Arabidopsis thaliana: one gene and its partners. The protein of the gene in region 2 purifies or fractionates together with the protein of the main gene of each other region. This does not show direct contact. Each region holds a gene or a part of one and is shown on either strand. Other genes may lie near its edges.

Region 1 (5,298 bases), on a different chromosome or scaffold from region 2:
GTGTTGGAAGTGATACGCCGGAGACTGGAATTAGGTTTAGGAGCTGGGATTTAGAAGAAAAATTGGCAGAAGGCAATGATCCGGAGGATGAGGAAGAAGAAGAAGAGGAAACAGATGAAGAAGAAGAAGAAGAAGAAGAGATCGCTGCGGTTGCTCTTACAGACGAAGTGCTAGCATTTGCGAGGAACATAGCAATGCATCCAGAAACTTGGTTGGATTTTCCTCTTGATCCTGACGAAGATCTTGATGGTAACGTATACATTGAGTCAAGTCTTTCGCTATTAGTCTTCATTGATTTGACTTATAGGCATATCAAAAGTTTGATTATTTCAACTTTTATCTAATGTAGATTTGGAAATGAGTGATGCTCAAAGAGGTCATGCTTTAGCTATTGAGCGTCTTGCTCCGAGGTTAGCTGCATTGAGAATAGAGCTTTGTCCATGTCATATGAGTGTTGGTTACTTCTGGAAAGTCTATTTTGTTCTTCTTCTTTCAAGGCTCAATAAACACGATGCTCATCTTTTGTCTTCTCCACAGGTTAAAAAAACCTGAATCTCAATCTCTTCTTGAGTCAAAATGATTCTTTGTTGTTGCTGTTGTTTATTCAACAAAATCCTTTTGCTTTTGCAGGTGATGGAAGCTAGAGCATTGTGGATGAAAGAGCTTCAGAATCAGACACATTCTTCAAAAGAAAGTAGAGATATGATTCTTGAGGAAGAAGATATTACACCATCAACTTCTAATTACTACAACCATGCTCCTCCTGAGTTTCTTTCTCCAAGAATATATGCTTTTGAACCTCCTTCGATTATGTATCGCGATTTTGAACACGGGTTTGAAAACGCTCAGTTCATCGATAAAGCTGTTATTGAGGAAAAACCAATCCAGAAGAACGACAAAAATAGTGCAAGCCTTAGCCAAACATCTAAAGATGTTGTTGATGATGATGATGATGATTGGCCAGAAGAAGAAGATTCTGCTAATTCTTGGGCTCCAATGTTTACAGTGAATGAGGATGATGTTTCTTTCAGTGATCTTGAAGGAGACGACGATATAAGTAGCTTAGCACTCAAGTCTAAGATTACATCAAAGGGCACAGACCAAAAAGGAACATGAAACATCATCTGGCTTGTTGCTTTGCCCTGCCTCACGAGATCGAATCAATAGAATTGAACATAAGTACTGTGTGCTGAGTCAAATCGTGGAAGTCTTTTGGGTGAGTTTGATTGTTTTGTGGATTTATGATGTTTGCTCTCAAAGAGAAGGAAGAAAGAAAGAAAAAGGTTTTGATTGAAACATGTACAGAAGATTTACTTTGACACTGCAATTTCATTGTAATGTTCTCTCTCGCCAAATGTAATGAAATATTGAAAAGCACTATTTCATTCGCGTGGAACTTAAAAGAAATTGATAGAGAATGGCGCAAGTGAATTCAAGTGTAACAAACTGTTAGAATCATTATTGGATTGGAAAATCATATGGGATTTTATTGCTTATGTTGAGGATTTGTATGTATGAAAATGGGAACAACCAGGAGGAGCTATCATCAATTAACAAAATAACTCCTATGACTTAACTAAAAAACAAATCTATGTTGAAATGTATAACATTTGTCAAAATGCTAGTACTTTGTTAATAATTAAGGGGTGTTATTGGTTTGTGATTTATATAGAGTTTTAGTGATTTAAAAATATTATATAGAATCTGATGTTATTCAATTCAAATTTTCATTTTTTTTTTTTAATTTGGTATTATTAGTTTAAGATTTATAAAAATTAATCTAAAATCTTCGTAAGTAAGATTGCTTCCCTAATACAGAGAAAGAAAGAAAAACCAAGTAAGATTGGTAATACGATGTCGTTTCGCAGAATAATGCAAAGCTGAACCCAATTTAATAAGCTGCACTTTTCTTTCTTTCTCGAGTCTCCCGTCGTTTTTTATGTCAGAACCAATTCGTCAGGTCGTGAATAAGTGACTTTATCGACGAACCACCACTCAGCTGCAGCAAATGATCGTTTAGCTCCGGCGAAGCGTAAAATTCTTCAGATCTCTCTGGAATTAATAATCCGTCTGTTTGATCGATCTGATTCGGCAAATCCTTGAGAAAACAAGGAGGGAAGAAGAAGAAGAACATGGCAGGGGCGGCCTCAGCGCTGTTTCTGCTCGATATCAAAGGTCGTGTTCTCGTGTGGCGCGATTACCGTGGCGATGTCACCGCTGCTCAAGCTGAGCGTTTCTTCACCAAACTCATCGAGACAGAGGTGAAGTTTTAACATTTGGAACTAATGAACAAGCTTGATCAGTGCTTAAAAGGATTCAATTTGATCAGAATCGTTATACTTATGACTAAATGACTAGTGTTTTCTCTGCGGGTTTGCTTACTTTCGTCTAATATGTTCAGGGTGATTCACAGTCAAATGATCCGGTTGCTTATGATAATGGCGTGACCTACATGTTTGTACAGCATAGTAACATTTACCTCATGATAGCGTCCAGACAGAACTGTAATGCTGCCAGTCTTCTCTTCTTCTTGCATCGTGTAGTCGATGTAAGCATCCCTAGTGATTCAGTTTTTTGCATTTCCATCTGTTTTCTGAATTTGAAGAAAAAAGAACGGCACTGTTTCATATGTTACAGTCTTATACTGATCGTAGGTCTTCAAGCATTACTTCGAGGAGTTAGAGGAAGAATCTTTGAGAGATAACTTTGTGGTAGTGGTAAGATAATGCTTCTCACATCTCTTCTTATAACTGTTTTCCCTCTTGCATGAGGTGGATATGTGTGGGCGAAAGTTATTTCTAAAAACATTTACTTATGTTACTGGCAGTATGAGTTACTTGACGAGATGATGGACTTTGGTTACCCTCAGTTTACTGAGGCAAGAATCCTTAGTGAATTCATCAAGACTGATGCATATAGAATGGAAGTTACACAGAGACCTCCAATGGCTGTCACTAATTCTGTCTCATGGAGGAGTGAGGGGTTAAAGTTTAAGAAAAACGAAGTAGGTGCTCAACATTTTACTTTTCAATTGTTTTAGGTTTTCTAATGTTTGCAGACTGATGTTTTGTTTTCCAGGTTTTCTTGGATGTGATAGAGAGTGTAAATATCCTTGTGAACAGTAATGGGCAAATTGTCAGGTCTGATGTCGTTGGAGCTTTGAAGATGCGAACATACTTGAGGTGCGTTCTCTAGTGTCCCTAGTTAACCAACGCATTTAAAATCAAAAGTCCCTCCTCTTTGACTCTCTGCTTCTTTATCCATGTTATTACAGTGGAATGCCAGAGTGTAAGCTAGGCTTGAATGACAGAATATTGTTGGAGGCACAGGGACGAGCAATAAAAGGAAAAGCCATTGATTTGGAGGACATCAAATTTCATCAGTACGTTAATCTCTTGCAACTTTAAACATTCTTTGACAGTCACTCTATCGAGGCCAATTTTTTTACTAACTCGAAAAATTATTGAATACTTGAGTTTTTACACGTCTCTTTCTTCAAAATGTAGGTGTGTTCGATTAGCCCGTTTTGAGAACGACAGGACAATATCATTCATACCACCTGATGGATCTTTTGATCTTATGACGTATAGACTCAGTACTCAGGTTTTAGAATGTGTAATATTGCAGAAATGGTTTTGTCCCCTTCTTAAACGAATTATATCATGATATATCTTATTTTCGCATAATACTTGTTCAGGTAAAGCCTCTTATATGGGTGGAAGCGCATATAGAGAGGCATTCCAGAAGTCGTGTTGAGATGCTAGTAAAAGCTAGAAGCCAATTCAAGGACAGAAGGTAAGTAACAAATGTTACTTAACACGTTTAACCATTACCTGAAATACTGAAATACTGGAATCCTTTAACGCGTTTTGATAAGAGTTCCTTTTTTCTGCAGCTATGCAACAAGTGTTGAGATTGAGTTACCTGTACCAACTGATGCGTATAACCCCGATGTAAGAACATCTCTCGGGTCGGCCGCATATGCTCCTGAGAAAGATGCACTGGTCTGGAAGATACAATATTTCTATGGGAACAAGGTAAGTTCTTATAGTTTAATGTAACACTTGACCATGTAAAGTCGAATGCTTACATTAAGTTTTGAAACAATGTAGGAGCATACATTGAAAGCAGATTTCCATCTTCCAAGTATAGCCGCAGAGGAAGCAACGCCTGAGCGAAAAGCTCCAATCCGTGTCAAATTTGAGATCCCAAAATTCATAGTTTCAGGAATACAGGTTGGTATTACTCACAATGATACGTTATTATCATATAGATCACATTCTTTTTATATTACTGCATTGAAATCTGAAGGCAAACAAACCTGATGTGTGTTAATTATGGGTATTGCAGGTTCGATACCTGAAGATCATTGAGAAGAGTGGGTACCAGGCACATCCATGGGTGAGATATATAACCATGGCTGGTGAGTACGAACTGAGACTCATGTAAAATGAGATCGTTTTTTTGTTTTTACTATTATTTAAGCCATTGTCAACGACACAAAGCAGAGGAAGATCAATGAGAAAAGGAAAAAGATTGAAATATATTAGCTGATAGAATTTGCGGTGAAGGTTGTTTTAGAAGCCATTTTCTTGTGAATTGTTTCATGGCGTTCTCTTTTTTTTTTTTTTTTTTCTGTAAAACTATATACGACAGTTATATATATATTGGGTTACAATTGTTAAACATCGAGTTTTATTTGGGGTTCTTTCAGTTCGTTTACCGATGGAAAATGCATGCAGTCTGGGTGACTACACCAATAATGGTTTTCCTTAAACGTCCGCTAATTTTGTAAGAGTTCACTATATAAATAACTTTGATGAGGCAGTAGAGCAACATGACGAACTAACAAATATTATAATTTTCAAAATGGAAGATATATATTTTACAGTACAACAAATCGAGAGGAGAACAAGAAGAACAATGAATAATCTGTATTAGTAGTAAATAGCCTAAACAAAAACTTAAGCCCTCAACGTAACAACCCTAAAACATTTTTTTTTTGCATGTGATCAATGTACAAAGTTGTTTATTCTGGGTGATGATGATGAACGAGGAGAAGAAGGAGATTGATTGGGGAGAGTCTGAGGAATCTTTCTAAAAACATGTTTCCTGCAACGTTGGAAGATGCTGTCGTATATCAGATCAAACTGAACACCAGCTCTCTCTCTGTTCACTATGAACATTATGTGATCTGCTTCCACTATCTTATAATACCTGCAACAACAAGGTATTCAGATTTTCTCAATCCATCAACGTCATTAGGTCATATATGATTCACTTACCAGATCCCGGGTT
Region 2 (4,919 bases):
GAACAATTAATTACTATTCCAATGGGATCTCGAGCTCTAGTTCCAGCAGCAGGTCCAGCACCATCACCAGCAGTTCAACCGCCTAGCCCAGCGGCTTTAGCTGATGATCCAGGAGCTATGCTTGCTGGCTTACTTTAAATTCATTGGGATAAAAGATTACTTGCACATGTCGAAAAGTTTGTTTTCTGTTATTGTAGAATGTAATGGCGAAAATATGGAATGATGGGAGAGTAAATGTAGAGCCAAGGGAGAGAAAAAAGCTAGTTTTGATTATATTTGTGCCGTTTATCCAAAGCGGGCGGGTTGCGTTAGGTAAGAAATTTTGCATTCATTCTGAACATTTGTATTGTGAGGTCAGTGGTTGTATCAGCTTGTTCTTGTGCCTATATATTTTCAATCTGTTTCTCCATGAGTTTTCTGATGGGAGGTCTGTTTTTTCGCACCAGCCTTCACATTGAGAGATTTTAATGTTGTCATAAAGGGGGGAAATTGCAAAAACACATCCAACGCATAGCATTTCACCTGTAAAAACCTGATCTAATTTGAGGTGTGAATAGAGTGGGGACTTGGCCTTGGTGGGACATTCAACCGACATATATACAACCAGATTTTTACTATTACTTTGAAGAATATAATTGAAAGAAAATTTTTTTTTTACTATTTTTAATTTTCTTACAAACTGCTTATGGATTTAAAAGCTGTTTTATCAATTTTTGCATGATTTTTTTTTGTTTTTACTACATAATTTGTAATTGACAAAAGTATGATTTTTTTATATTACTATATCATTTGTAATTTTGCAAATAAAAAAAAATATAAGAACCCTAGATCCGGGGCTTGTGAAACAAGAGTGATTAAGCAAAATTTGAGTAAGTCTGACTTTTGCAAGTTTGCTTCACCAACATCAATGTCGCTCAAGTTGAAGAAGCAACTTCTCTTAAAGTATCGAATACCCTAAAATTTGTCATGCCTTGAAGAAAAACTCAACCGAGATATTGGAGCTGTTCGAAATACCTAAGAAATCAGCCGATGTTGCTAACGCAAAGGGACAATATCTTCCATAAAACTAAAAATGTTCAATAAGCAGGGCCGACCCAAATCTAAAGCCCAGCAAGCTGATGCTTTATCATCACAATCATATAAAAGCCTTGTAGTTTAATGGTTGGTGCTTCCATTAGTTATATAAGTTTACGAGTTCGATACTCAAACTGCCAAACAACAACATCCTAGGAGCATACGCTATCGCCGTCACTGCTTTTCTAGCTCAACAATTCGTCCTATTCATCGTCTTGTAGATTATGATCTTGTTATGAGACACATTTAGTATTTCAAAAACGAGAGTAGTGACAATACTTTCCTATTCACCAGAGTAATTTGGTTGCAATGATTCTAGCAAAATTGTTATCTGAAATATAGAGTATCTAAAATCTTTATTCAAAAGATTTCATAATACATTGAGTAAAATTATAAAATGCTCATAACAAAAAATAATCAAATCAGCACTGCGTATAAACCATTTGTTTCGTTCCCACTAATACCAACAAATACCATGTCTGACGAAAAAAAAAAAAAAAAAGTTGGGACCAGCTAAACCATTGCATGACCTGACCTGACCCGAATTCATAACCGGATTTTCTCATGGTACATTTTTTTTGTTAAGGATTTTCTCATGGTACATTGAATTACAACTGAATGCATTGACCGCGACAGAAAACAGTCATTTTAAAAATAAATGAAAAAGTGAAACCAGAAACAGCAGTAAATAAATATTACCCAAAAAGGCAGAAGGATACACTTTTTAACAAAATATTACGCAAACTTATAAATCCTCAAATTTAGTCCAAATGTCTAGACGCGTTAATTCTGTTTTTCGACGGGTCAATTTCGGATTCCAATTTCAAAACAGACAAAAACTGAATTACACAAAATTGAATAGTCAAAGTTGTAAATAAAGAAAAATAAAAGTCGTCTCTCGTCTCTCTCCCGCAGGCGTGTCTCTCTTCTCCAAAGATCAGTCTCTCCTTTTGAATTTCTTCGATTGAAGGTGCCATTTTCCGTTTCTAGATTGGGATTTCGATCTCACCTCTCTCGAATTGCTTATGCTTCAGCTTTAGTCTGTGGTTTATCTCGTAGTTAGATCCGGTGCCGCGAGTTTGGATCTGCGCCGTGTGAGGCGGCGGAGCACGGTGGATTTGAGGATTTGGTTCAACCATGACCGGAATGAGAGGTCTCTCCGTATTTATCAGCGACGTTCGTAATTGCCAGAACAAGGAAGCGGAGAGACTACGAGTTGATAAGGAGCTCGGAAACATTCGTACATGCTTCAAGAATGAGAAGGTTACTCTCAATTCTCTCCATTCTATTTTCTATGTTTTGATTCTCATTAGAGAGGTAATTCAGTGTCGAGTATCCGCTGAGGTTTTGGTTTATTAGAGATATTGGAGATTTATCCTTCGCAGTTGCAATGCCAATGCAATCGAATGTTAGAGCTATTAGGTTGATTAGGGAGTTAGATAAGAATGTAGATGAAACAAAGATACAGTCACTGGTCACATGCCGAGTGGATAGTTTTGGAGCTTGTAGTTTCTTACTTTATCGGATTGAGGCAATAAATTTTGATTTAACACCAATTGTGAAAATAGATAGGCAGTATAATGTTGCCGTTGTATAGCTAGCTCAAATCCTTGTAGATTAGCAATTATTCTACCTTTTGAAACATCACTACTATTGCTTTCAACTTGGAATTTCATTACTGAATATATGATGACATTTAGGAACTAGAAGAAAAGAATGGTCTGGCAGTAAATTCGGTTATGTAGTGATGGTCTAAGAAATTAAATCATGGTCACGGAAAATTTTGAATAGCTCATTACGAAGTAGATTAAGCTTTGTTGCTGTAAGAACTTCTGGAGTGAAATTCTTGTTCCATCTTACACGTAGCAGAGCTGTAGCAGGCCTGTAGTGGATCCATGTGTTTCCAGTTGGACCAACATTAAACTTATTCTTTTTCGGGGTTCATGTTAGAAATGAATTAATCAAGAACTCTTTGATTACTTGACATTCTGTTTTATTTTTGCAGGTTTTGACACCATATAAAAAGAAGAAATATGTCTGGAAAATGCTTTATATACATATGCTAGGCTACGATGTGGATTTTGGCCATATGGAGGCGGTTTCTCTTATATCTGCGCCAAAGTATCCAGAAAAGCAGGTAAACCAACGTTTTGTTTGCTCAAACAAAGAAATTTTTCTTTGTAAGGCTAGGAGAAGATAATAGATGGAGGTGTTTGCTGAAATATATTCTATTGATCAAGCTGAAACAAAGAAAGTTTCATTGAAGATCACACAGTTAGATCTAGATACCATTTCATGCGTTTGCAACTTGACTTGACCTGGGAAAGTATTGCAGACAATTACTTATAAGCACGAGTTACTTAGTAACATCTTAGAAACTCTTAACCAGAACCATGCATTGTATCTCAAGGGTTTGTATTTCCAATTTATATTGTTTCATGCTCCTTAACTAATTTGCAGGTATTGAACTTTTCATCCATGATTACAGGTTGGCTACATTGTTACATCTTGCTTGCTCAATGAGAACCATGACTTTTTGAAGTTGGCAATAAATACAGTGCGGAACGATATTATTGGTCGGAATGAGACTTTCCAGTGCCTAGCACTGACCTTGGTATGTGGTCTTTTGTCCACCCTGTATTGAGATTTTAGAGCATAGTTAGGTTCTTCTGATTATAAGATGTTGTTAAATGACTGTTTTAATGGAAGTCTTTGGTACATTATGTCTTTTGTGCTCTATCATTTCACGATTCAGAGCCACTTACTTCATGAAACTGGTCCTTTCTTTCTAGCTTTCTTACCTTGCCATGCTTACGTTCTCCTGTAGGTTGGAAATATCGGTGGAAGGGATTTTGCTGAATCATTGGCACCTGATGTTCAAAAGCTACTTGTAAGTGACTCCTAAAGATGAGAGGTTATATTTTTTTCCAATATTACTAAACATATTATGTTATGGGGTCTCTTTGCTGCAGATTTCTAGTAGTTGCAGACCTCTTGTAAGGAAAAAAGCAGCACTGTGCCTACTGCGCTTATTCCGAAAAAATCCTGATGCTGTCAACGTGGATGGCTGGTGTGTATAACACTGTGGGGTTACTGGTTCTTTGATTTTACTAGTGCATCTTTCATATTCTCTTTGTCGTATACTTCCAGGGCGGATCGTATGGCACAACTTTTGGATGAACGAGATCTTGGTGTCTTGACGTCTTCTACGAGTCTTCTTGTAGCTCTGGTATCTAATAATCATGAGGCGTACTCAAGTTGTCTACCTAAATGTGTCAAAATATTAGAACGCCTTGCTAGGAACCAAGATGTTCCTCAGGAGTACACATACTATGGCATCCCATCTCCTTGGCTCCAGGTTTGACTTAACTCGGCTTATTCACTCTTGTTTAATAGCTTAAATATTCTTTAATCGCATCCTTTTCACAAATCCTGTGCATTTTAAACATTTTATGTGAAATTAGCTTATGAAAATAGAGGCTTGGCCCAGCTTTGGTGTATTTTTGTTACTCAGTTAAAGATATCGTGGATACTTATATATCTTTGGTTAGTACAGGTTAAGGCAATGAGGGCTCTTCAATATTTCCCGACCATTGAAGATCCCAGTACCAGAAAAGCTCTGTTTGAGGTTCAATATTTTCATGTGTAAATCTGTAATATATGTCTTTGAATTTCCTCTCATGGCATGGCATTTCATGGAAATTTCAGGTCCTTCAGCGAATATTGATGGGGACAGATGTTGTGAAAAATGTGAATAAAAACAATGCGTCTCATGCTGTGCTGTTTGAAGCTCTATCCCTGGTAAGTTCGTCGGATAGCTGGGGAAATGTTGATACCATGAATTT
Region 3 (4,395 bases), on a different chromosome or scaffold from region 2:
TTATCTAAAGAAGAATATGAGGACTTGGGTTAAGTTATGTTCAAATGTTTGCATCTGCTAGGTGGAATTTAGTAATGGTGTTGTTGAATTATTACTTAAGGTTGGTGATTGCATTGCTTTGAATGCTCATTGAGTTATTGAAGGAAGCTCTTGGAACTTCAGGGAAACTGTGATGACACTAGAGAACAGAACAAAGGTATTTTGGGCATTAGATGCAGGACTGATTTGGTTACATTACGTATTACTGGTTAGTGTTAATGTTCATGATTGATTCAGGAACTCGCAAAGTCTCATGTTTGACGCTTAGTAAGTCTAACATGTTAGAGTTTAAGAAAGAGTAGGGTTGGTGAGAAAACGTCTCATGTTCTTCTGTTTTGTCGCTGAGATGTAAGAGATTCTGTGACCTGATGAATCTTATCAGTGGAGGACAAAGAAGGATTTGGGTATCAGCACAGACCAGTCACTGGCAGAGATAGCAGAAAATGGTTTAGTCGACATGATCATAAAGGATTTTAAAGTTGTCACGAGAAATCGATTCATCACATTATGTTGATAATTCAACAGTTACTATCAATATTAGTTATATATCCTCTCAAAGCATGTGTGGTATCATAGTTCTACGAAACAAATAGTACATCACTAGTTGAAATGAAAATCTCACAGGTAAACAAAATGTTGGATGAGAGATCTTTAGCAGAATCACTCTAAATTCTTCATTCACAATGTAAACGCTACACCATTGTCTAACAACTCAACAAAGTATAGCAAATCTCTGAACATGCCAAGAAACATCTGGCAGGTACGCAGTTAACCAAGTAGAATGTGATTCTTAACCGTCATCACTGTAGCTTCTCGAGTTCTGACATCCTTTCGATGATTGCCTGCGAATTAAAACAAGTCCCCAACATTTAAAAGTTTAGCACTTGAGCAAGAGCATGTGTGATACATTTAAGTGAAAGAGAGAAGCTTGAAACAAAAATTTCACACCCTTTTGCTTGTTTCTTGGAGCTCCCCAGCAAGAATGAACTCATCGAGTATCAAGTACACCTTTCAGTTTAAGTCATAGGGAACTAGTTAGCAATTATTAGAGTACAAACACAGATCAAATCTAGAAACACTGTAGCATCTGCATATATAAACACAAATAGGGAATGCTTTTCAAGGCTGCATACAGATATTTATCTAATGGGTCACGATGGTCAGCTTAGAATTGGGACAAGTATACTGAGAAGAAAACGAAACTAGCTTTTGATTTTCGCAAACAAAAGCTTAGTTTGATATACCCTTGTAAGCTTAATATATGAGAATTCTCAGAAAACCATTTTAAAACATCTGGGAGAATTCACTTAACTAGTTCAAAACTTGTAAGCATTCAATACTCAAAAGACAAAGCAAAATCCCAGTGTTTATTCAAAACCAGTTGTTGTACAGCATCACAACTTAAAGTTATGAATCCAACGAAGCAGTTCCAGAAGCTATTTACAAAGGATAAGAGTAAGTAAAGAGGTTAAGTACCTTGTGGAAATTAAACACCAAATCTAGCTCACAAACATTGCTGAAGAAATGGTCCAATATCTCCACAAACAAATGGATACTCTCCAAGTAAGCCAACTCATTGTCGGTTATATCCACGCACACAGAGAAAAACAATCCAGCATAACGCCTGTATATCACCTTGTGTGTTCTAAACTGAAAATAGTTGCAAAACAGTTTCATCATTCATACATTAACATTCACAATGACACCCACTCACATAAAACGCATTCCATATTATTGTTTCTCAATCACACTTCTACTACATCTCGAATAATCTATCTCCAACAGCCCTAATCTTGTTATACAAAACCTAAATCAGGTTCAAACCTAAGACAATTTCAACAAGCCAATGCTTTTTAAAATCAATCAAATTATACAAAATCTGATTCAAGAATGATAAATTTTACAAAATGAAAACAGCAAACCTCAACGAAGTTGGTGAATTTGGCGTCGCGATTCACCACTAATCTATGAACCTGTGAAAAGAATTAAGAATCAGAAACCTAAAAAGGATAAAAAAAGGAAGATGATAGAATTTGAAATGAGTAGTACCTCGTATTCGACTTTGTGTTTCTCGGATTCTTCGAGAGGGACATAGTATTTGGCTAGACGAGTCTTACCTTGTCTGTTCTGCAATAATATGAATCGGATCTGGACAAATTGGGAGAGAGGTGGATCAGAATTGAGCGTCAGACATGAACAAAGGAAAACAAAGTGGAAGAGAAATAAAGCAGTGTACCATTTTCTCTGCAAAATCTAATGGAGAATTCAGGAGAAATCGTGAGCGATCAGAGGAATTTTCTTCTTTCAGATCTCACTTTGAATTTTCACGACCTTTGTTGAAAACAGGTTCGTAAAGCAGCCAAACTATCCAGTCAAAAAGATGGAGTTTTTAAGAAAAAAATTGATTTAGGAGGAAATAGAAAAATAAGCTTGGAGCTAGAAAAGATTTGTGAAATAGAATTTTTGTTTTAAAAATTTGATTTAACTACAACTTTTTTTTTCCAACTCAATGAAATATTATGTGTTTCATATTCGTATCCTCTCAAAACTAGTTACAAATCTGTTAATTTTTAAATTTTAATTGGATATTTTATGAAAGTTCAAAAAATATGATAAAAGTTTTATTAATTTTTTTTTGTTATAAGGCTTTCTTTTTTTTTTGGTGAAAATCAGAAGAAAAACCTTAATCGAACATGTCGTGACACGATAGTTCAGACTTATCATCCCTAAATATCGAAATCAAAGTATTCGGGAGAACATCAAATGCATGAAAATCTAGAAACAATGAAAACGCATGTAATTTGTCAATCCATTTGTGAAACGGTTGATCTTCCTTTATACGTGAAATATTAGGACTATCCAGTACTGCAAAACCTTTTTGAATGCTAATAAATTGTATTATCCATTTTGGATATCCATATTGCAAATTTTAATATTTGTAATTAACTTTCCCTCTAACATATATTAAATTTACTTACAAATATCTGCATATTTTTAATGGGATCAAAGATGATATAGCAAATCAAATAAGAGTACTACAAATATTTTGCCTTGCCCTATATTTAATTATGACATTGGGTTTGATTAGTAAGATCCAATAGATTTGTTTGCAAACAAAACAAAACAAACAGCTTTGGAGATTACCAATCATATGAGCGGTTGGAAAAAGTGATTAAAAGAGAGAAAAAATGGACGATTGCCAACTCTAAAAACTAAACGTTTGGTGGTTAAAATTTATTTGTTAGTTAAAATGATATTAAAAGTTTTCAAAAAAAATAATATATATTACTCTAGAAAAGAATCTTTAAAACTATTATCTATATTTAATTTATTGATTTATACAAAGCAATGGTACTAGTCAGCCGTTTGTTACTAAACATAACTTATCGGTTTGTTTAAACAAAGTTACAAATCTAACTCATTGATTAGACATAATTCATAACTTCTACTTCATTTAGAGTGTTTCACAAACCAAATAGGGATAGATTTATATCCAAAATTATAAATCGTATCAAAATTTTCACTTTGGAAGTAAAAGGATTTTCTAGTGTTGTACGAAGTGGTCCAAGACATAATCTTCTGCTAGTTCGTTGCTCCTCTTTACAATCTTATTGATATTGATATGATATCTTATATAAATGTACACAAACAAATGGACCAAAAGTCCTCCTATACTCATGAAGTAGAGGTCCAAGTACTAGTAAATGGAGTTAGTGGCCGCCAAAAGAGCAGCACCGAGCCCAGACACGTCTTTGGTATGTTTGATCGCAACGTGACTTGCAAGCTTATGGCCAAGAAGCTCGACTAGTGCGTCTTGCATATACTGTCGATATTGTGGGTACTTCTCATACAGTGCACCGTCCATAGCCACAACGGTTCTTTTACCTGAACCCATTCTTTTGGTATCTTTTTCAATCTTCTCCAGAATTGCCACTATACCAGCTCCTGCTAGACGCCCTCCGCGTTTCACTACTGTGTCACACACTTCCACCACTCTCCTCCTTGCATTCATATTCGCCTCTACCTATTTTCAATAGCTCGATCAGGTTGGTACAGTTATCAAATCTATGGATGTGATTAGCCTTATACATTAACAACTTACATCTAAAAAGTCGTATAGGATTGATCCAACATCCCGAAGATCATCTGTATTGTCCTCTTGCATTTTGCATAGATGCTCGGTCCTTTACAAAATTTACAAAAAAAAAAATAATGAATAAAACTGTCAATCAGAATTTACAACACTTTCCTAGCTAATCAAGTTATTAAGGTATTGAATCTAGGGGTGAGCATATATAGACCGCACCGAACCAAAGCTGAACCGAAATGTTTGAGCATATTGGTATTTCCTGGTTT

What was found. Proteins that work in one complex are often made in the same cells at the same time.
Region 1: the proteins of alpha-ADR (region 2) and AT1G10730 fractionate together in Arabidopsis thaliana (co-fractionation; one large-scale study listed by BioGRID). This does not show direct contact.
Region 3: the proteins of alpha-ADR (region 2) and AT1G47830 purify together in Arabidopsis thaliana (affinity purification with mass spectrometry; 2 studies listed by BioGRID, with this or other methods). This does not show direct contact.

Annotation. Positions count from the first base shown.
Region 1 is NC_003070.9:3,563,331-3,568,628, forward strand, and holds AT1G10730 (Clathrin adaptor complexes medium subunit family protein), read left to right. Parts: upstream 1-1,926; 5' UTR 1,927-2,132; coding exon 2,133-2,261; intron 2,262-2,401; coding exon 2,402-2,548; intron 2,549-2,654; coding exon 2,655-2,717; intron 2,718-2,827; coding exon 2,828-3,004; intron 3,005-3,078; coding exon 3,079-3,182; intron 3,183-3,274; coding exon 3,275-3,382; intron 3,383-3,506; coding exon 3,507-3,603; intron 3,604-3,697; coding exon 3,698-3,795; intron 3,796-3,895; coding exon 3,896-4,037; intron 4,038-4,112; coding exon 4,113-4,235; intron 4,236-4,350; coding exon 4,351-4,449; 3' UTR 4,450-4,776; downstream 4,777-5,298. Other genes in the region: AT1G10720 (BSD domain-containing protein), read left to right, coding at 1-249, 350-537, 631-1,116; AT1G10740 (alpha/beta-Hydrolases superfamily protein), read right to left, coding at 5,013-5,217, 5,286-5,298. UniProt on the Arabidopsis thaliana protein: Subunit of clathrin-associated adaptor protein complex 1 that plays a role in protein sorting at the trans-Golgi network and early endosomes (TGN/EE).
Region 2 is NC_003076.8:7,585,319-7,590,237, reverse strand, and holds the start of alpha-ADR (alpha-adaptin), read left to right. Parts: upstream 1-1,915; 5' UTR 1,916-2,211; coding exon 2,212-2,337; intron 2,338-3,079; coding exon 3,080-3,211; intron 3,212-3,562; coding exon 3,563-3,688; intron 3,689-3,901; coding exon 3,902-3,964; intron 3,965-4,046; coding exon 4,047-4,144; intron 4,145-4,224; coding exon 4,225-4,432; intron 4,433-4,630; coding exon 4,631-4,702; intron 4,703-4,782; coding exon 4,783-4,875; intron 4,876-4,919. Other genes in the region: AT5G22780 (Adaptor protein complex AP-2, alpha subunit), read left to right, coding at 1-138; AT5G22785 (uncharacterized protein), read right to left, coding at 394-522, 533-595. UniProt on the Arabidopsis thaliana protein: Subunit of the adaptor protein complex 2 (AP-2). Adaptor protein complexes function in protein transport via transport vesicles in different membrane traffic pathways.
Region 3 is NC_003070.9:17,612,507-17,616,901, forward strand, and holds AT1G47830 (SNARE-like superfamily protein), read right to left. Parts: upstream 2,481-4,395; 5' UTR 2,279-2,480; coding exon 2,276-2,278; intron 2,188-2,275; coding exon 2,089-2,187; intron 2,013-2,088; coding exon 1,962-2,012; intron 1,690-1,961; coding exon 1,516-1,689; intron 1,048-1,515; coding exon 988-1,047; intron 882-987; coding exon 840-881; 3' UTR 523-839; downstream 1-522. Other genes in the region: HXK3 (hexokinase 3), read right to left, coding at 3,737-4,063, 4,142-4,223. UniProt on the Arabidopsis thaliana protein: Subunit of the adaptor protein complex 2 (AP-2). Adaptor protein complexes function in protein transport via transport vesicles in different membrane traffic pathways.